Arabidopsis thaliana: one gene and its partners. The protein of the gene in region 3 purifies or fractionates together with the protein of the main gene of each other region. This does not show direct contact. Each region holds a gene or a part of one and is shown on either strand. Other genes may lie near its edges.

Region 1 (5,335 bases), 790 kb from region 3:
GCAATATTTTGACTCACTGAATCCATTTTCGACGAGGTCGTTGAACGTATGACCATCGCAGTTGTAGGTAAACTTGTTGTTCGAGGAAGGAAGATTCTCAAGGTACTGAGCAGCGACAGATGTGAAATTGCCTTTGAAATCTGTGAACTCGACGAGGATTACGGTGCCGCGAGCGATGAAACTGTAGAACAACGATTGTTGCGCCATTATTTTGGTTCCTTAAAAAACGACGCGAATCTAATTCGATCTTACGGGACCGATATTAGAGATTTATATCGGCGAGCACGAAAGCTTTAGAGATCTAGAAAACTTGACGCTGAAACGCGTAGAGAATCGAAGACTAAGCCAAGTAAAACCACTGACCAAGACAACACGTTTGTCCGAACTTGCATTTGTTCTTACATGCTGCACCACAGTTTTAGTCGACAGGAAGTGGCTGATTTGCCGCAATAAGGAGATCACTTTCATTTCCTGCAAATACACATAACCGCGACATCAGCCGGAGGTGGCTCCGCAAGTCGCCTCGATTTCAGCAGTCGAAATCTTGAGCTCAGCATGGCAATCAATTCGAAGAAATTCCAAAATCTCAGAAAATCAGGCGAATGTTTCCGAAATTAGGGAAGCAGAGGAGAAAGCGTTTGAGCAAACCCTTAATGAACTAACCGGAGACTCTGGTGAATCGGTCAGACGAAACCGTGTTAATTACATATTCATCTCCATTTAATATTAACCGGCTGTGGACTATGCTTATACCTCACTGCAATCCGCAACTAGAGTCTCATCAACAGACCAAAGAAATTAGTAAATTGCCAAGAACAAGTATCGTCCAAATATTGGTTTGCAAGAATTAGTGTCAGTACCAGCAATAGCAACATTGCAGATTGTCGAACATGCATACATATATGTATAATATATATAGCCTATACAAAACAAATTTCAAGAAGTACAATCTAAGAAGAAACATATAGTATGAGAATATAGAAATCACAAAAACAAAAACAAAACAAAAAGGTAGCACAACGAACTGAATGAAGATATTCTCAGAGATCTTGGGAAGCACAGAGCGCAGTCGATAACGCCGGGAAGAAATGTTCCAGACTTATTTACCGCAGTTGAATCCCCCACAAATTGAGAGGATGATGATGAGAATCAAGGCAATGATAATTGCAAGGACAATGAGCTTTATCTTCATGTTCTGAAACCACATCTTTCTTCTCATTTGAGTTCCTTGTGTTCTAAAATCTTGCGCCTGTGATAAAGTCGAGTTCAAATTTAAAGTTAGAAACCCAAGAAACAACAATCAGTAAGAGAAAGCTGCAAACTCTTGCATGTCTCTGTGTGGGTCTATTGACTTTGAACCATTTAGAAAACAAACCTGTGAGCGAAGGTTTTCTGTTTTGTCAACCAAAAGCTCAATCTTCTCACCACGGTCAAGAACCTGCAAACGAATGCATAAACGAGTTAACAACAGAATATGTCTTCACAACCGAGAATAAAACATTCCTCTCTACAGTTTATGCTTTACGAATCATAAGATCCTGGTACTAAAGTCATACAAGCTGAACTCTGTTCGAAAAGGTTTACAACATAAAACTATATCGATAAAAAGAAAAAAGGGTCAGAATCAAACCTTCTCAATGTTTTCCATCATAACACCTTTAACTTCAGACACTTGAGCTTTAACCTTAGCAAGCTTGCTAATCTCATCAGGATGATCCATGCAATACTGCATATGCTCTTTCAGTTTCGACCTTTAGAGAAGCCAAAAAGAAGTCCATCAATAACTATGCCCATGAATCATAGACCCTTTTCAATACCAATCAAAGAGATCAAAAAACACATACCCAAATTCTTTATTCAAGCTGTTTGCTTGAGCAGTTGCAGCCTTTCCACCACCATATCTCTTGTTGAAATCCTCCTTAACTCGTTCCAAGAAAGCCATAGGAATCTGCCTCCCAGCAGAATCAACTGCAACAACACAATAGGCTGCACAAACGAAAACAAAACCGGTCCATTTTAAACTCTATATTAAGAGATAAAGCAATAGATTCATCAATATATCGCTGATAAGAAAGTTAACACTATCATAAAGAGACCATATCCGCCATCAACATCACCCAAAACCCAATTAGGTTTAGTAAAACAGAGTTACATAAAGAACACAATACACTAATGCCAAAAACTTCATGATATCGAAAGCTACACGCAAATAAGCAAAGAATCAATAGATCCAGAACAAAAATTGCAAATATTCATTGATAGATCCACCAAAAATATCACTGATTACCATAGATCTAACATCAATTAATTATCAACGCCAATACATAATTATTACTGGAAACTATACCAAACATAAGAACTCGATTCATATTTCTCAATTAGGCAAAAAATCTAATTCAAACAATGGATAAATCAAAACACAAACAAGCTACGCTTACAGATCGAGCAATATTTTGACTCACTGAATCCATTTTCGACGAGGTAATTGAACGTGTGACCATCGCAGTTGTAGGTAAACTTGTTGTTAGAAGAAGGAAGCTTCTGAAGGCACTGAGCAGCGATTGATGTGAAATTGCCTTTGAAATCTGTGAACTCAACGAGGATAACGGTACCACGAGCGACGAAACTGTAGATCAACGATTGTTGCGCCATTTTTTTTACTCAAAAACGACGCGAATCCGATTTTACGGGACCGATCTCAGAGATTTATATTGGCGAGCACGAAGGCTTTAGAGATCTAGAAGACTTGACGCTGAAACGCGTAGAGAATCGAGGACTAAAAGAGAATACGGTGAAAAAGAAAAGTGTAGGAGAAATCTTAACGTAGTTGAAGAAGAAAAATCAAACCCTTGAGTTTTAGAGGGCAAAAAAGTTATATTTCAGAAAGATTTATGCAGATTGTGCAAATTGAAACAATCTTGAACTTGAGGACCTAAAAGCAAATTCAAATAATCAACTTGTGGGGTTTTAAAAAGTTGGTGATGTTGGTGTAATGGTATTTTGTTATTTGATAGTTTCAACGTATTTTTATCAGCGAAAATGAATTTGGATAAGCTAGTTTGAACTTTGACCTTTGAATAATTGGTTCCTATATTATCTAAATCTACTATTAAAATTTAAAACTTAAAAGTCATCAAAGATTATTACATGTGGTTGGATAATAATTTTATAAATTGTCTTTTTTGGGGTATTTGTAGAAAATTTGGCATATTTGGGGTTTTGGTGTAATCTAAATTAAATGACTAAATAAGAATATTTTCAAAGTTATAGGAAAGTTCAATGGTCTAGTCACCATAATAAATGATAATCTACAATTCTACATGCATCCCATGTCCGCTCCTATTAATTCAAATCTATTTTTTTCTTGATTTAATTGTACTTAGAGGTTGCTTACTATTGTAATATATATACCTGAATTTCACGTGTACACTTCTAAAGTGTATCTTATATTTACAACAAGACTATATTTTGTATTTAAAGTTGAAATTGGTAGGTGTGAATGTGTGATAGTTTTGGAGGAATGGTTTGGAAATATATCGATCGTTTAAATAAAATAAAACAAGAATATGGTGCGAGAGAAGGGATCAATTTGTTTGAACTTGACCGCAAAAATACTTTACGATGAGATCAATTTTCACTCGTCAATCATTTGGTGAGAAAAGGATGACAATTTCTAAACGAAGTTTATTCTAACTCTCTAGGAGATAATGCCTCAAAGGCTTACAAATTGCAATAAAATATAATAATAAGAAATGTGATTGGAAATACTAATTAAAAATAAAATAAAACACACCAACGAAAGGAAGAAGAAGAAGAAGAGAGAGGTGGTTTATGTTTAATTTGTAAAGCGGTAACATCCTGTAGCGGCACTGCAACCACGTCGGTATTTGTTATCCGGTTTATCCGGTTTACCATCTGGTTTGGCTGGTAAGTTTTTCTTCAATGCTTCGTAATCTATAAATCTCTTAGCTTGAAGTATCCTATGGCTCACATCTACACCTGAACTCATCTTCATGATCTCTTCTTTTTCTCCACCGTCCATGCAATTGTCACATTTTACCGGACGAGATCCGACCACAAGCGCTGGAAGCAAAGCTGCCGAGATGATCATCACAGCGATGATCAAGAGCTTCATGTTATTCATCATCGAGACTTATCAAGAGAGTGTAAAGTTGAGAGTAGTAGTTGTTGTTTCGTTTACGTTGAAATGGTTTGTGATGAAACACTTGGTTAATCTACACTTTTATAGAGGTTAATTTTTTTTGTAGAGGTTCATCGAATATTTGACCAGATTCTTACTCGAAAAAGAAAATCAAAATTACTCCGTCAAATTCATGGAATAAGAAATGAATACGGTGCCCAAAAAAGATGAACCTACACAAATAAATGATTCAGTGGATTTGTTTTGCTCTGTATAGTGATCAAAGTCGGTCAATTCGCATAATTAATTGGTCAAAGCCTCAATAATGATTTCCATATATGATAACATTGATGGCTCGTTTTTAACACAAAACTGAGGGGATGCATTGGAACATGATTATAACGTCTTATACTGCCGTTATAACGTCTCCGGTATCAAAGACAAGATACTATAACGAAAAGAAAAAAAAATACTAGAAGGAACGTTATATAAATAGCTATGAGAAAATAAAATTATGGGGTGAGAGAGGCTCGAACTCTCGACCTCAGGATCACTCAGTAGCTATGAGACCTACGCGCTAGCCAACTGCGCCACCACCCCAACTGTTACTATTAACACTGTTTTAGTTAATGAAATTCAAGGTAAAATCATGAAACACAAACAAAAGGCAGAACCCTTGACTTTATGAACGTTTGACTTATCCATCGAAATATAGAAATGGCTGCCACCCAAAAAATCTAAAATTTCTAGAAGCAACAACTGATGAAATTCGAGAAGAACAATATTCTTACATATAAAAGATTTAAAGATTATCCCCCTTCACTTAAAAAAAATACTAAACACATGACCTGGTCAAGAACAACACAAGACTCAGGCAAACATTGGTTGTGTGCTTTATTCGAAACTATAATAATATCTGAAGAAAGTGACAAGAAGACCAGAAAAGAGAGAGGTGAGGTGAAAAACGGTTTTGGTGCATGGTCCTCTCTAGCGAGCGTCCTTGGACAAAAGACCTTGCGCTTCAACTTTCCTTGCGTTGCGAAGCTCATCAACTCCATCTCCTCTCTCAAACACAGCTGCTGCACCCATCCCCGTCCCTGCCAGAGTTTACCAAATCAGTAAAACCATCCCTCAGACACATATTTCAGACACCAAATTCACAATGAATTATTCGAGTGAGAAGCATACCAATGC
Region 2 (5,641 bases), on a different chromosome or scaffold from region 3:
TATCATTGTATATGATGAATGAGTTCTCCGGTGGAATGCAGTATAGTGACTGAATGTTGATGCAATATAAATGTGGTTTTTTTTGTTTTTAACAGACAACTAGAAGAGTATACTGGTGTTATTACGCAGATCAAAGGGCGCATCAAACTGGTAAGTTCAAGTTCTTATCTTGCTTTGTGATAGTAGTCAATCATTTGTCTTATGAGGTTGAATTGGACTAGAAAATCACTATTGCGTAGGAACCCTGCATCAGACGGATATATGAAAGTGTCATCGGATAAGTATTAATGTTAAATTACCATTGCAGGCTCATTACCAGATTCAGCAAATACTCAATCTTCCTGAAGAGAATCCGTCATCCCGGCAACGTGCGTTTTAGTACACTACCTAGTGGAAAGTTGAGGATTTTCTCTTGCAGTCTTATCTTCTCGATTTGTTCTGCTTACTGTTTTGAGTTTTTAAAGCAGAGAATTAACTTAGTTTGTTCAATACTAACTCTTTCTCCGGAATGGACCAAACTGTTGGTGTTAGATAAACATATCGATTAAGCAATCAAAACTTTATAGAATGACTATTGTTGTGGGGGTGAATAGTGAATCGCACTCTGTTAAATCTGCCATTTCTATTTTAAATATTAATAATCACATGTTAGAACTTAGAAGATCATTAACAGTTTAACACAGCTGATGAAGAATGAAATAAAAGTATGAACGAAACAGATACAAGATAATGATATTCCACGTCAGCAAAGTGTCCAAATATCTTCCGCTTCCCTGTCTTCGTCGGTCCCTTTTCGGTTTTCACGGTAAGGCTCGGAGGAAAACCTAATTCGTCCGGAGAATCTCCACCTCACTCTCGCCAAACGCATCTCTGTTGTAGGTAAGTCACGGATCTTCATTCTACGCTAATTGTTATTGTTATCGTTATTCTTGATCTGGGCGTTTTTGTGGAATTTGCATCTAAAATTAGAAATTTGGATACCAAAATCCACTCCAATTGAATAAGGTTTCTGAAGAATTTTCGTTTGATTTTGAGATCGAAAATTGCGTTTTCTCGTTTTTGTTTTGTTATCGCTAACGCATCAGGTCATATATCTCAAGTTTATATTTTGTGGCAGCTTGTGATGGATCCAACACAGAACACAAGTGCAGGGATTGGTGGGAGCAATGGTACAATCAGATATCAAACCAATGATGGGACTTCAACTGTGACCGTTGCTGATGATTCAAAGGAGAATCTTTCCCAAGTCATAAACTCTATTGAGAAAACTTTAGGAGTCCTTCATCAGTTACACCTTACCGTCACTTCTTTCACACCCGCGTCTCAACTCCATCTCCTCCAGCGCCTGTAAGTAACTCCTCTACTCATCTGTGTTTATTGTTTTGGGTATTGTAACTATTGTTTGAATGAATATGTGTGTGTGTGTGTATTTGCAGTAACTCTCTTGTGATGGAGCTAGATAACATGACTAAGTTGTCTGAGAAATGCAACATTCAAATCCCCATGGAGGTTCTTAAGTGAGAAAACAAGTCCTTTTTGTTTTTAGTATGCACTTTGAAGATAGATACTTTTACTTGCTTACTTATGTTTGCGTTTTCGTATAGCTTGATTGATGATGGGAAGAACCCGGATGAGTTTACGAAAGATGTTCTTAATAGCTGCATAGCTAGAAATCAAGTTACTAAGGGCAAGACTGATGCTTTTAAGGTGACTCCTTTTCTTCTGATTCTTAATTTGTGTATGATTCTTAAGGTTACTGAGTCTCTTAATCAACATTTTGTTATAAATAGGATTTGAGAAAACATATTCTGGAGGAGCTTGAACAGAATTTCCCTGATGAAGTCGATATGTATAGAGAAATCCGTGCTAGTTCTGCTGCTGTAAGTTGTTAACTTCGACTAGTATTGTACATCTTCATTAATATATTATAGTAAGTCAAGGGGATTAAACAGTTTTGGTCATATTCAGGAAGCGAAACGGTTGGCGCAATCGCAAAGTGTGTTACCAAATGGGGATGCAAAGGTCAAGAATGAGCTATAAGAGCCCAAAGGATCCTTTTTATGTTTACCTTGTACTCTTGTAGAATATAATGACTGAGTCGATGAATGTGATGTAACACGAACAATCCCAAGTGGAATTTCTAATAATATCTGTTGGTTCTCTTCACCTGGCTAATATAGTTTGAGAATCTCTGCTTGTTCCCCCCATTTTTACTCGAGTGGACTATCTTACTCTTAGCCTCTGAGATCTCTTTGATTTCATGAGACTATCAAAGAATCCCACATAGTTACGCAAAACAGATTCGACTTCTATCAATGGATTTGTCTATTTCCTGGACGAGTAATCTTGGTTCTGCATAAAATGTACACTATTTCCGAGAGCTGAAAAAGTGAGAAAAGACACTTAGATTTCAATCTTAATTAACGGTTTGATTCGGTTTGGTTTGTCTCACCTACATTTGCATCGATTGCAGCATGGGGGACTTAATACGCAGTGGCTGACACGTGTCAATATAAAACGCACCGCTTTGTTTGATTGTTCCTCCTTGTCCCCGAGCAGAGAAATACAAAGGAAGAAGAAGAAGAGTTGTTTGATTATCTTTAAGCAAAGAGGAAACTGTTTTGCTTCTAGATCCGATCCAATCCAATCAAACAAAGGATCCGATTGATCAGAAAAAATCCACCAAATTTCTCAAGATCGAAACATATAATTGAAGATGAGCGACGTATTTGAAGGGTACGAGCGTCAATACTGCGAGCTCTCAACCAATCTCTCTAGAAAATGTCACTCTGCATCGGTTCTCTCCAACGGAGGTAAAATCCAGACGCTCCCGATTTCGGATCTTGAACGCGAGATCTTCGAATTTACCTGATTTTAGAAATTCGAATCTTCGAATTTGGGGTTATTGGAGCTTTTGAGCTGTGACAAGTAGCTGGTGGACTAGTGTTCTTTACTAATCGTCCTGACTTGTTTAGGATCTGACGAAGTTTTGTAACATTTAGGAATGTTGAGACATAGGATCTGTTTCTCATTGCTTGGATTAGAAGACGATAACCTAGTTAGGTCTAGATAGTTATGTAGTTGCATAGATTTATTAACTTGTTTCTCAATCTATTTCATCTAATTTTGTCCGAATTTGGGGGTATTTGTAAAGTAGAGGTGCATGAGTGTTTACTAATCGTTTTAGCTTGTTTACGATCTGACGAGTTCTGTAGTATCTGGGAATGTAATTTACTTGGATTGGTCAAGTAGTTTTGTGAAGAAATTAAGACTGAAGATAAGATCATAAGAACCTAGTTATGTAGCTGCAGAGGTTTATTGAGTTGGTGTTTTTTTTCATTTGTTTGTCAGTCTATGGTTACCACTGTCTTTCTTGGAGTTATAGTACATAGACATGCATGGAGTTGTTACATTTTGTGGTGCCATAGAACCAGAGTAGAGGTTTGATTAGATATTGTTGTGTGCTTTTATAGAGGAGAAGAAGGGGAAGATTGCTGAGATCAAGTCTGGAATAGACGAAGCTGATGTCTTGGTATTTGCATTTAACTTGCTTTAATGTTGTTACCGTTCTGTTCTTTCTTTTTTAAAATTAATATATATGCTTCTGTGGTTTTTTTGTAGATCCGGAAAATGGATCTTGAGGCAAGAAGTTTGCAGCCGAGTGCTAAAGCTGTGTGTCTTTCTAAACTAAGAGAGTATAAATCTGATCTGAACCAATTGAAGAAGGAATTCAAACGAGTCTCTTCCGCAGATGCTAAGCCGTCTTCCCGTGAAGAGTTGATGGAATCCGGAATGGCGGATCTGCATGCAGTAAGCTTCTAACTCCTAAATAGAAACTCTTGTTTTCTCATTATCTTAGTTGTCTTAATTGACTTGCATCAGTTAGGCTTCTTTGTCCTGAGGGGACCCTCCTTTATATTCATCTTCACACAAACTTTTAGATGGCAAAGACTTTGCTGTGATTTACATTATTGTCCATGTTCCAGGTATCTGCTGATCAAAGAGGAAGATTGGCAATGTCCGTGGAGAGGCTTGACCAATCAAGTGACAGAATCAGGGAGAGTAGAAGACTAATGCTGGAGACAGAAGAGGTTGGCATCTCAATTGTCCAAGATTTGAGTCAGCAACGCCAAACCCTCCTTCATGCGCACAACAAGGTACCGTCTACAATTGCTCGGTTTGGTATCTATCAGTGCCAATGATTTGTTTGAATTAGATCATTGAGAAGCTAACTTTTCTGATTTTGAATCACAGCTTCATGGTGTGGATGACGCCATTGACAAGAGCAAGAAGGTGTTGACGGCTATGTCAAGGAGAATGACTAGGAACAAATGGATCATTACATCGGTAATCGTGGCTCTCGTTCTCGCCATCATCTTGATCATCTCATACAAGCTTTCTCATTAATATACTCAAAAAACATTATTCATCGTGATTGTGTATATATATATGATGGTTGATTTACTTTGTAATGGCCCAAGTGGTTACTTGTATTTTTAAGTACGATGTTTGTATTGAAGTGGCAACACTTTTAACATTCATAAGGTTTCCCAAGTCTTTTCTTTTTTGTCTTTTTTTCCAAAAAAGTGGTACTATTTTATATAAAGCAGATGTTTCAAAAGTTACAACTGTGGAAACTTCCACTTACATCTCAAGTCCAACCTTTGAAAACTTACAACAATGTAATTCCAAAAAGAACAAACACTCCATTGCTCAAAACATAAGGTTTTCCAAGTCTTTACATGAGCCAAAGATCTATACTTATAATGTTTTAAGAAAACTAGGACACCTGACACATCCTTGCCGGACCAATCATCTTGCCGTGATCACCAGTCGCAGGCAGGAGACCCACTGTCACGTCAGAGCATGAAACAAAGGCCTCTCCTTCTATCTCTCTATTTAAAATAACATCAAACATTCACGACACCAAAAAATACACACAAGCCAAACATAACAAGTAAAACTATCCCCGAAACAAATAGTTTTATGCAGTCCCGGCCCGTCCATAACGCAGCTAGAGCATGTGTTTCTGTCGTGAATTATGTTTTCTATGATCTCAGCCCCTGTTATGTTTTAAACCACACGTTCTGGTCTTCAAACTCGTTAACCCATTCCACCCTATAAATCCCTTCTTCGTAAGCAGGGATAGATTGACGAGTGATTGAAAATAATCTTTAATGATCAAGAATTTCCTCCCATTCGCCGGAAATAATTCACTTAACCACCAAATGAAAGAGTTTTGAGATTAATTAATCTACTCTTTAAAATTTTAGGCATATACACTTGATTGATGTGATGACAAAATGATTTGAGTACTAATCAAGTACAATCACTACAAAAAAAATGTGTGTTTTTACATCATTTATTTTATATATTTTTATTAGTTATAAACTTATAATTGATGGCAAGAAAAACATTTACATCACTAAAAAAAGTGACTTTTGAAAGTAGTGATGCAAATATTTTGTATCGATTCTTGTAAATCGATCTTAACATATATCAATTACAAAAAATAATGTTAAAATTCGCATCATTTAATTTAAATGATGTTAATATTTGTAACATATATAATAATTTATGCATGCCAATATTTCTATTACTTGTAAACAATTGATGTTAAATTAGTTATCAGTTTTCATAA
Region 3 (5,860 bases):
CAGGAAGTGGAGTTTATTACTATTCTATGAAAGGCAAATACGAAGGAGAGTGGATTGATGGGAAATATGATGGTTATGGAGTAGAAACATGGTCTAAAGGGAGTAGGTATCGAGGTCAATATAGGTTAGGTCTAAGACATGGAATTGGAGTTTATACGTTTTATACAGGAGATGTGTATGCTGGTGAATGGTCTAATGGGCAGTGCCATGGTTGTGGTGTATATACCTCTGAGGATGGAAGTAGATATGACGGAGAGTTCAAGTGGGGTGTCAAACATGGCCTTGGTAGTTACCATTTCAGGTCAGCATTGTTCTTTTTTACTCTGCATAGTCATTTGAGTTTCTGGAATATGGTTGTGCTTTGACCTGTAATGGTGGTGCATTAGATCCCTGTATATGTTGCTCGTCTAAGTGTGTTTGCTATCTTGAGTTCCATTGTTTTTGAAGGGTCGTGTAGTTGTCTTTCTCTTTATTGTTGCCCTTGTTCACTTGGGTGTGTGAATCTGGAGGACCTCTGAAAGGTTTTCAATTTCGATTTCTGACATCAGATGGATAACTGGGTTTTGTTTCCTGCTTCTTGTGGTTATCCTCACCTTATAAGCTAGTCTAGTGAACATCAAAGTTTAGGCTTTTGTGTTACTCTCAGTTAGCATTGATCTTAAGCAATTGCATGAAGCACTGGTGGTCCAGTATGCTTTAGCGGTACCATGGCTTTAAAACTACATTTAACTTGGAGTTATGCTGCTGTTGCAGAAATGGTGATGCGTATGCTGGGGAGTATTTTGCAGACAAGATGCATGGTTTTGGAGTGTATCACTTTGCGAACGGGCATAAGTATGAAGGAGCTTGGCACGAGGGAAGAAGGCAAGGGCTTGGTATGTATACTTTCAGGAATGGTGATACACAAGCCGGTCATTGGGAAGACGGTGTACTCAGTTGTCCTACCGAGCAGACTATCCGTCCTGGATCATCTTTTACCATAAGCCATTCCAAAGTTGTTGATGCTGTTGAGGTAAAAGTTAACTAGTAGTTTATCTTTAGTACTGCAAACACCATATATGTATTAAACTAAGCTTGTTCTCTCTTTCTCCTTCAGCAAGCAAGGAAAGCAGCTGAGAAAGCACATGAAGTTGTGAAAGTGGAAGAGAGGATCAAGAGAGCGGTGATGGCTGCAAATAGAGCAGCGAATGCAGCTAGAGTAGCAGCCGTGAAGGCTGTCCAATCCCAGACCTTTCACAGGAATGATGGCGATCTTGAAACCAATTGTTGAGCATAGGTTAGAAGAGATCTTCCTTAACAGGTTTTCTTGTTCCTTTATGAGCAAAGCTAGTTTGAAACTGTAGATAATAAACTAGAGATGATCTTTGTATATCAACAAGAAAAAAATTGGGTCTGCTTCATAGAATGCAACTGACATACATGTAGCCAAAAATCCCTATCTTGATTAAACAATTAGAAGAATCTGGTATATCAGTCTTATAACAAAAGATGAATCTGGTCTTGAAAAGTTGTGTATGAGTAGAAGAAGTCTAGCTCTCAGTTTGTTCTCTGAGCCTTCTGATGGTACTCCTAACAGTTACAGCACTAGCAGTATTCATCGTGTAGGCACCTCCAGCCTTAACTTTCCCACAGTCCTTACATCCCCAAATTCCAACAGCCTTCCGTTTAACAGCATACTTGCCACAGAACTAGCAGAAGTATTTGCTGTGCTGACTCACTTCCATCTTCTTGATTTGCTTCCTAAGACTGGCACCATATCTGGTCCCTTAACAGACAACATTTCAACAGATTCAGAAACAATGTAAAATGGGCTGAAAATCTGAAATCAAAAGAGGGATCTTATGATTCACACAGCAGACAACATCTCATGCTATGAAGCATTTATTTGAATGAACTAAAAGCAAGGATTTAGGCCGTTTTTATTTGGGCCAAGCTAGATGACATTATACACTTCCCTTAATTAGTTGAATTCGGTTTTTCTTAAGTACACTTTTTTTTTTTCTTTGTCCTAATTTTTCTTATTTTCAAATTTAGTTTGGATTTCGATTTTTGCATTTACCGGTTTGTATAATAAATAAACGATTCTAATTTAATGAAGGACTGAAAGTTTTGTTTCGTTTTCGAATTAATTATTATGATGTGCTCTTTATTTTAATTTCATTTAAAGTCAATTATCAAAATTAAGCTAATGTAAAGAGTGTGGATCGTCAGATCTGGAGAGGTGACCAATCGTACGTCCCAGGTTATATGAGTTCCAACACTGACAAACGATGTCGTGGCGGGTCCCACTGGTTTTCGGTAACGCAGTTTTTCAAAATCTCTCATTTTCGTCCCTTCGAGCCAAATCAATGGCAAAAAATTAGCTTTTAGAATTCCCCAAGAACAAAAACAAAAAATGTCCGAGAGAAATTAGGGAAAAACAAAACAAATAAAATCTGGGTGTAGGGGAGAGAGAGCTCGTGCTCGTGATTTTGATATCTATCTCTTCGTTATCGATTTTGAACATCCACATTGTTCTTAGATCTGAAGAAAAAAAACACGGGTTCTGTTATTACGATTTGCTCGGCGATTTTGACACCAGGCTTTCAATTCTTTTCGTTGGAGGTGATTCGATTTCAGATCCATCGGATCTAATCTCGGCGAGTCGATTCGTGGTCGACATTTTTCAAAAACTGCTCGCGTGGATCTGAAGAAGAGACATTGTTGTCTTTTGTATATCGGCACTGAATTTTTCTGGGAATCTGTGTAAAGATGGATCCAATATCAGCGGTTAGCGAAGAGCTGGCTGAGATCGAAGGACAAATCAATGACATCTTCCGTGCTTTATCGTGAGAATGAATCTCTCTCTAGCGTTTTCTCTCCATTTGTGATTTGGTATTTGTGTCTATATAATAATGTTTTGATGTTTTTGTTTTCTACAGAAATGGATTCCAGAAGCTGGAGAAGATCAAAGATGCTAATAGGCAGAGTAGGCAGCTGGAAGAACTCACTGACAAAATGCGTGACTGTAAGAGGTATACATTCATTGAATCTGGTGTTTGATTATCCAATGATGATGATGATGATGCCTTGTTCTTCTTCTTTGCAGCCTTATTAAAGATTTCGATAGGGAAATCAAAAGCTTGGAAAGCGGTAATGATGCCAGCACTAACCGGATGTTGAACGATAGACGACAATCTATGGTTAAGGAACTCAACTCATATGTTGCTCTTAAGAAGAAGTAGGTCACACTTTTGCTAATTGCTTAACTGATGCTCATATTTATGGTGATTGATGATAATGAGGATGGTTATACAGATACTCATCAAACCTAGCAAGCAATAACAAGCGAGTAGATCTTTTCGATGGACCTGGAGAAGAACACATGGAAGAAAATGTCTTATTAGCTTCAAGTAAGTCTTTAAATCTCGTATTTTGCGACCAACTAACAATGAGATAGATATTTATTGCACTTTGTTGTTATATGATTACATACAACCTAACTAGAGTATTTACTGGAAACTTAATAACTCTCAGACATGTCCAATCAAGAGTTAATGGATAAAGGAAACTCAATGATGGATGACACAGATCAAGCTATTGAGAGAGGGAAAAAGGTCCGTTTTCAGATTATATGAATGTCTTATTGTCTCTTGAAATTTCAGTCTAATGTTCATGGAGCCGTGAATGCCATGTGATAACTTGTGTCCATTTTTCCATCTTCACTAAAGCAAAATCTCACTGCTTTTTTTGTGTCTGTGACAACAGATTGTACAAGAAACTATAAATGTGGGAACAGATACTTCAGCAGCTCTCAAGGCTCAGGTGTGTAGTTAGCCCACACTTGTTTCTTTCCAAACAGTCCTGCTTCTACCTGAATCTCATTTTTTTCCAAGATTGTGTATTTGTGTGTGAATTCTGAGAATTATTAAGATAGTTTACATTTTCCTTGTTCAGACCGAGCAAATGAGTAGAGTTGTCAATGAGCTCGATTCTATTCATTTCTCACTCAAGAAAGCCTCCAAGCTGGTCAAGGAAATTGGTAGGCAGGTTAGTCTCATAAATCTCCTTATTTCTTCTTTATATCATCATTACTTGTTATCTGCAGCTCCTTCTTGTCCCTTTCACTTACTCTCTGTCCTTCTTTTATCAGGTTGCCACTGACAAATGTATTATGGCATTTCTTTTCCTTATCGTCATTGGTGTCATAGCAATCATCATCGTCAAGGTACATCTCATCTCCTTTCTTATTCAAATGTGCACACACACTTGGATACTTGTTTGAGTTAAATAGATTTCGGTGTTCATCATTATTTTTTCTTGAATAATATGAGGTTATGTTTTTTACTTTGCTGGATACCTTGTTGATCGAAGAACCTATAAAAAGCACAAATACCCACAATTTTGTCTTTCTCCATTATTCAGTTATGCAATATATAAAGTTGTCTCCTATGTGATTGTTAATTTGATCTCACTTCTAGATTCATCTGCAATATCTTTCCTTCCAACGCTGTTATCTTGTTCACATTATCATACATGTAACTTCTTCTTTTTATTTCTTTTGTATAGATTGTGAACCCAAACAACAAAGACATTCGCGACATACCGGGTGTGGGCCTAGCTCCACCAGCCATGAACAGACGTCTGCTCTGGAACCATTACTGAAAAAAAAATATCTCATTTTCACACCATTCAAAATACTGGTACGTTGCACACTTTTTTGTCCCATACACATCTTGATCCTCCCCTTAGTCATGTTGTTGTAGATGAAACCGCCTCACTTGAGAAAGTAACCAGTTTCGATTCACATGGCTCTTGGCTGCTGCACATTTGAGCAGTCACAGGAATCAAATTCCCTTTCGTTAAAAACCCAGGATCAAAACCATCTTTTTTAGCTCATGTGTTTGTATAAGGATGACTCTTTTGTGTTCTATCATATGTACGTGTATTTTTAAAACGTCTTCTCTGTTTCATGTTCTGGTAATAAAAACTTGTTTCACTGGTTCAAAGTTGTAACTGAGTTGTATCATATCCGATATATATTAGTATATGACTTCACTCTCATTATCAGCGAAAAAAATTACGGTAAACAGACCAAAAAGTCTTTACAAACAATGACCAAAAAAACAATACGATTTTACAAGCTGCCGAATCTACAAATTGCACTAATCTGTATCATAGTTTCATGTAACAACAATGATGTTTTTAGAGTTTCTAATAAGAAAATTTTTAATTGATGTAACAAAAAAAAATGTGTAGTGTGGGAAATTTTAATATATATCAGTGAGTTTAGATAAAAATTTGAAAGTTTTAACTACAATTACTAAATTAACCACGTAATAGTGAGTCGTAAATCTACAAAGGATATGCGAGGGATCGATAATCAAGGCATATAATTCGGAGCTGATGAGTTAAGCTTTAGTTAGTTTGACTAACTACGGTTATGGTTAAGACTTAAGCAGAGTGGGGCTTATTAGTGGATTAATCTTTATTTGATTACTCCAATATTAAAACCTTTATCTCTCCATCTCTCTCTCCTTCACAACAAGCAACTGAGATTCAGAGACAAGAAAATGCAACGCGAGAAAACTCAAACGAATTTGCGTTTGGACGAAGGAGGAGGCAGCGTTTGGCAGAAATGCTCAAGACACGAAGGTCGTTTTGTCTGCGTTGCCGGTGTTTGTCCTTATTGCCTCCACGAACGCCTCTCCTCTCTCTGTCCCGATTGTGCTCACGATCTTCCCTGTTCGTGTACTCCACGCGCCTCCGTGTCTTCCCGTGGAGAAGGTGACGTTTCGTTCGCCCGTATTGGGTCGGTTGGCCGTGTTGCCAACTTGATTGAATGCGAACCGGCGTTTCGGAGGTCGACATCGATTACGGG
Region 4 (4,831 bases), on a different chromosome or scaffold from region 3:
ATCTTTCTAATTAGATCTCGCATGTAATGGATTATAATATTTCAGATAAACAAAAACGAAAACACAAAACATTAAAGTCTACCTGAGCTGTGATAGCTGATGATCTTCTGAAGCTCTCGTCTTGAGAATCTCCGAAAACGATCTGTTTTCCGTAAAATACACTTCTAAGAGGCTTCTGACTCTTAAGCTTCAGACAAGAGAAACTCTTTTTCAAACCAAACCCACCAAAACTCACCGGAGAGAAAGAGAAATCATCAACACGGTGATGATTACCACAAGCTCCTAAGAACAAACTCGTTTTGCTAATCACTTCCGTCATATTATTCTCTAATCAGAAGAAAAAACAATATCTGTCTCCAGAATATACCAGAAGAAAAAGAAAAAGTTCTCACAGAGACGACGTGTCTTCTCAGCAATCTTTAGTCGCCAGCGAAGTTTCGCTTTCTTTCTCAGGAAAAATTAGCTTCACGAGAAAATTTATAATCGAAAAAAAAAAGTTTAAAGGAAAGAGAAAAAGGCCTCAAGGTTAGACATTTCTGGACAGGAAACTGTTTTCTTTTTCGTTAAGTGATCTTGACCGTCCATTTTGGATTTGGAATTTTAAGATCTAACGGTGGATTAGTGATTATCAGGTTTAGTCGGTCAGAAGAAAACTAATAAATGGATAAGGTTCATGACTTCTCGCAGATATAAAGGAACAAGTATAGGAAATTTTCTCATGACTTTGAATACATTTAAATGGATATGTTTGGTTTTTTACCATGCTTTTATCTGAATACAGAGTTTTAACTATGTTAAGTGGATATATATTATTTTGAAGAGTATGTTTAGCCAATTTAAGTAACGAATTTTAAATTTACCTATATTAATATTAAACAAATGGATTATATAGGTCATGAACCAAACAATTTTGAGAAAAATAAATGATACAGTTTCATCCTCAAACATTTATCAATCAAGTAAACAACAAATTAGGCGATGAACCACCAAAATGAAAGATTATTACTTTATTAGTCATCTGCAATCAACTAGTGAAGGATTTTACTACCAAACAAAAGAAAAAAAAGTAGTGATGGATAAATGGATTTGGATTTTAAGGAAGATAGTTTGCCAACACATCACCCACGTGGGTCTCACTCTCTCCACCACAACTCTCTCCTTTAACCTTTTTTATGAACTTTATATTATTGGAGATTTGCAATTGCCACCTCTTTAACAAAATAATTGGAGATTGCCCTTTTTAGTTTTTTGGTTTACATCTAACCCCCTCAATTCCACATTGCACAAGTTTTCGATCGATTCACGACAATAAGTAGAACAAACGTAACAAATGTGACTAGAGTTGAACAGCCAAAACAATCGAAGCAACTTTATTTTAATGTAAAACAAGCGTTATGTAATATTTTTTTGGGCGGCAAACAAATTTACTATATTTAATTACAAAAACAGAATAATTTTTTAATTAGAAAACAAAAAGTTTAAACAAAACAAATGTGACGAATGTAGAATAGACAAAACAATCCTAACAAATTTGTTTTAATGTAAAACAAGCGTTACGTAATCTATATATTTTTGTCGGTAAACTAATACTATTTTATAACCATGAAACGTTACAAAATTTAGTACATACTAACGTTATAGTAATGTAGTGACACAGTTTTTAAAAACATTTTTCAAGCATTACAGAATAAATATTGAATTGCGACTACAATAAATATTATTAAATTATTTTTTTATTCGAATATCATAAGGAATTTAATGTGATTAGTCAAAATTTTGGGTATTATTAAGTTTATAGAGATATGATGTACATTTTATTTAAAATTTGTCTACGATATTGAAACAATTTTGAAAATATTACAAGAAAAATAAAAACTGATTTCAAGTTTAGAGACCAACAAGCTAGTGGAGATGTTTTATTGGAGAGTCGTTTACATACGAAATTAGAATTAAAATATTATATATTTGAAAATATCCTAATAATTTGAATGGTTCAACTAAGGTGTATCGTAACAAAAGAAACTATACCATAAGTTTTCCAACATAAAAAACAAAACACAAGAACCACAATTTTTGTATAAATGGTGACAAATGTGCAGCTAAGAACACCTCTTCTTTGCTTTCGTAAATCGTCACCAATGATGATTTGTCGACAAAAGCGATGTCATACACATAATTACAATTTAGTCCCTATATTTTCTTCTCAGTTTCGATATCTTTAAAGCTGTCTCAATCACACACGTCGGCACTAAAACATACATCTAATTACAATTTAGTCCCTATATTATTTTAAAGTTTCGAAAGAAATTCACATGAATTTAAAAATAGATTTGAAGAAACAGAAACAGATAGACAAATGGACGACAACGGATACATCGCCAAAATATAGCCGTTGGGGCGAAGAAATCACAGTAACGGCTAATTTCTCCTTTTTCTTATATTAGAAAGAAAGCTTTCTCTCATCTCACAAATCGCTAATCAAATTCTATAGTAAGCTTTACTTCACACTACTCTCTCACTTTCTGGGCAGAAACTTTGTGGATCTAGAAGAACACACTAATCAGAAGAGTATGTTGTATTTTCTTTGATTTTCTCTTGTTTGATTCTGTTACAATCACTGCGATTCTCTCTGATTCTTGTAAAATTGTTGACTTTCAGGTGAAAAAGATGAACGACTTGATGACGAAATCGTTTATGAGTTACGTTGACTTGAAAAAAGCAGCGATGAAGGATATGGAAGCAGGACCTGACTTTGATCTTGAGATGGCTTCTACGAAAGCAGACAAGATGGATGAGAATCTGTCATCTTTCTTAGAAGAAGCAGAGTATGTGAAAGCAGAGATGGGTTTGATTAGTGAGACGCTGGCTCGGATCGAACAGTACCATGAAGAGAGTAAAGGTGTTCACAAGGCAGAGTCTGTGAAGTCTCTTCGTAACAAGATCTCTAACGAGATTGTGTCTGGTTTGAGGAAGGCGAAATCGATTAAGTCGAAGCTGGAAGAGATGGATAAAGCCAACAAGGAGATTAAAAGGCTCTCTGGGACTCCGGTTTATAGGAGCAGAACCGCTGTGACTAATGGGCTGAGGAAGAAACTTAAGGAAGTGATGATGGAGTTTCAGGGGCTGAGGCAAAAGATGATGAGTGAGTACAAGGAGACTGTTGAGAGAAGGTACTTCACTGTCACTGGAGAACATGCTAATGATGAGATGATTGAGAAGATCATCACTGATAACGCTGGAGGTGAAGAGTTTCTCACGCGAGCAATTCAGGAACATGGTAAAGGAAAGGTCTTGGAAACTGTGGTTGAGATTCAAGACAGGTATGATGCAGCAAAGGAGATTGAGAAGAGTCTGTTGGAGCTTCACCAAGTGTTTCTTGATATGGCTGTGATGGTTGAATCGCAAGGTGAACAGATGGACGAGATCGAGCATCATGTGATTAATGCGAGCCATTACGTGGCTGATGGAGCTAATGAGCTGAAGACTGCAAAGAGTCATCAGAGAAACAGCAGAAAATGGATGTGCATTGGTATCATTGTGCTGCTTTTGATCATTCTCATTGTTGTCATCCCCATCATTACCAGTTTCAGCTCTTCTTGAGATACTGGCTATGTTCACTCCTTTTGTTTTGTTTCGCTCTTCTTTGTACCAATGGATGTCTTAATCCTTTTGTGTTCTTCAAGGATGTCTTAATCCTTTCGTGTCTTGTATCCAATTTCAATGAAATGGTGAATGTTTACAAAGATACCCAGTTGACTTAATCCTCTTGATCATTCTAAATGTTGTCATCCCCATTGTTAACACTTTCAGCTCTTCTTGAGGTACTATGTTTACCAATCGTTGTTTGTTTCGCTCAAAGGATGTTTAATCCTTGTGTTTTCTGTATCCAATTGTTATGGAATGATGATGACTGTGTACAAAAATATTACTTTATATGAACCGAACACAGTATGTATAATATAGTTTGTACAACAATGGTGGTTCTTGTTTCTACCTGACCTTCCTGATTGGCAAAGCTTTCCCAAACAATTTTTCAACCTCACTTGCTTCCATTTTGATCTCATCCAAAAACTCCATCTCTTCTTTACTTAACTCTCTCACGAAATTCTCCTCGTCTTGCTTCAGTTCATTAAATCCTTCAGCCAATCTCTGGAACAAGGTCATCTCAGTCCTACCGACCTTCTCCACTTCCTTCTCTACCTCTTCTTCTATCTCTTCAACCTCTTTTACGATTATCCTTTCACCTTCTTCCACTGTCTTCTCAATTCTCTCCACGAGCGCAGGTTCAGGACCACATGTGTTATCCGTTCTAATGAATGTGCTGAAGTCTCTGCCTATGCTTTTTGCTGCTTTTTCGAGTTCTGGTATAATGCTATTGGGTAATACAGAACTTCTCGTGTATACAACTGCACCACCATATCCATCCCAAGCATCGTTTCGCCCACGGTAGTATACAAATATATAGTCTTCAGGTTTATTCTCTATCTTTGATGACAGGATATACCTGCAAAAATCATATGAAAGCTTGTTAGGCCAAAGAAGAATAGCAGCACTATCAAGACTCTCCCTCGTGGGTGGATACAAGATGTTATTACCAGTCATCTTGATAGTGAAGGTACTCGTTGTCATGATTGTAGAGAACACCAGGTTGGTTAGGATCTTGCACGAATTTTTGTACGGCTGACCTAGTAAAGAATCCACTGTCTAGGGTCTTTATTCTCCAAGAGATGTTTCCAACAAGCTTGTTGTCACCTTCTGTGTGGAACTCATGCAGCTGGCAGTCGAAGGCATCAAAGGTTGGATTCAAGCCACTTGTAATGTACCACTTCCC

The links.
Region 1: the proteins of NPSN11 (region 3) and SAR1 purify together in Arabidopsis thaliana (affinity purification with western blotting, with the first as the bait; one study listed by BioGRID). This does not show direct contact.
Region 2: the proteins of NPSN11 (region 3) and VTI1B purify together in Arabidopsis thaliana (affinity purification with western blotting, with the first as the bait; one study listed by BioGRID). This does not show direct contact.
Region 4: the proteins of NPSN11 (region 3) and SYP111 purify together in Arabidopsis thaliana (affinity purification with western blotting; 2 studies listed by BioGRID, with this or other methods). This does not show direct contact.

The regions. Positions count from the first base shown.
Region 1 is NC_003071.7:14,042,686-14,048,020, forward strand, and holds SAR1 (synaptobrevin-related protein 1), read right to left. Parts: upstream 2,859-5,335; 5' UTR 2,653-2,858; coding exon 2,439-2,652; intron 1,987-2,438; coding exon 1,845-1,986; intron 1,752-1,844; coding exon 1,631-1,751; intron 1,439-1,630; coding exon 1,376-1,438; intron 1,250-1,375; coding exon 1,100-1,249; 3' UTR 774-1,099; downstream 1-773. Other genes in the region: VAMP723 (vesicle-associated membrane protein 723), read right to left, coding at 18-207; RALFL18 (ralf-like 18), read right to left, coding at 3,836-4,147; PKT3 (peroxisomal 3-ketoacyl-CoA thiolase 3), read right to left, coding at 5,129-5,238, 5,330-5,335. UniProt on the Arabidopsis thaliana protein: Involved in the targeting and/or fusion of transport vesicles to their target membrane.
Region 2 is NC_003070.9:9,213,387-9,219,027, forward strand, and holds VTI1B (Vesicle transport v-SNARE family protein), read left to right. Parts: upstream 1-2,383; 5' UTR 2,384-2,716; coding exon 2,717-2,813; intron 2,814-3,473; coding exon 3,474-3,532; intron 3,533-3,621; coding exon 3,622-3,810; intron 3,811-3,986; coding exon 3,987-4,157; intron 4,158-4,254; coding exon 4,255-4,407; 3' UTR 4,408-4,624; downstream 4,625-5,641. Other genes in the region: AT1G26660 (Prefoldin chaperone subunit family protein), read left to right, coding at 96-150, 308-379; AT1G26665 (Mediator complex, subunit Med10), read left to right, coding at 1,124-1,347, 1,437-1,517, 1,605-1,707, 1,791-1,880, 1,969-2,040. UniProt on the Arabidopsis thaliana protein: Together with either SYP41 or SYP61, required for membrane fusion; the fusion of phospholipid vesicles containing SYP41 or SYP61 and VTI12 is triggered by YKT61 and YKT62.
Region 3 is NC_003071.7:14,828,336-14,834,195, forward strand, and holds NPSN11 (Putative plant snare 11), read left to right. Parts: upstream 1-2,290; 5' UTR 2,291-2,751; coding exon 2,752-2,828; intron 2,829-2,921; coding exon 2,922-3,014; intron 3,015-3,088; coding exon 3,089-3,220; intron 3,221-3,297; coding exon 3,298-3,392; intron 3,393-3,516; coding exon 3,517-3,596; intron 3,597-3,747; coding exon 3,748-3,804; intron 3,805-3,936; coding exon 3,937-4,029; intron 4,030-4,132; coding exon 4,133-4,207; intron 4,208-4,548; coding exon 4,549-4,644; 3' UTR 4,645-5,082; downstream 5,083-5,860. Other genes in the region: AT2G35170 (Histone H3 K4-specific methyltransferase SET7/9 family protein), read left to right, coding at 1-301, 754-1,012, 1,097-1,270; AT2G35200 (DUF740 family protein), read left to right, coding at 5,553-5,860. UniProt on the Arabidopsis thaliana protein: t-SNARE involved in diverse vesicle trafficking and membrane fusion processes, including cell plate formation.
Region 4 is NC_003070.9:2,708,547-2,713,377, reverse strand, and holds SYP111 (syntaxin of plants 111), read left to right. Parts: upstream 1-2,377; 5' UTR 2,378-2,568; intron 2,569-2,658; 5' UTR 2,659-2,667; coding exon 2,668-3,600; 3' UTR 3,601-3,853; downstream 3,854-4,831. Other genes in the region: ACHT4 (atypical CYS HIS rich thioredoxin 4), read right to left, coding at 83-319; NPQ1 (non-photochemical quenching 1), read right to left, coding at 3,991-4,504, 4,596-4,831. UniProt on the Arabidopsis thaliana protein: Involved in cytokinesis. Acts as a cell plate-specific syntaxin, required for the fusion of vesicles at the plane of cell division.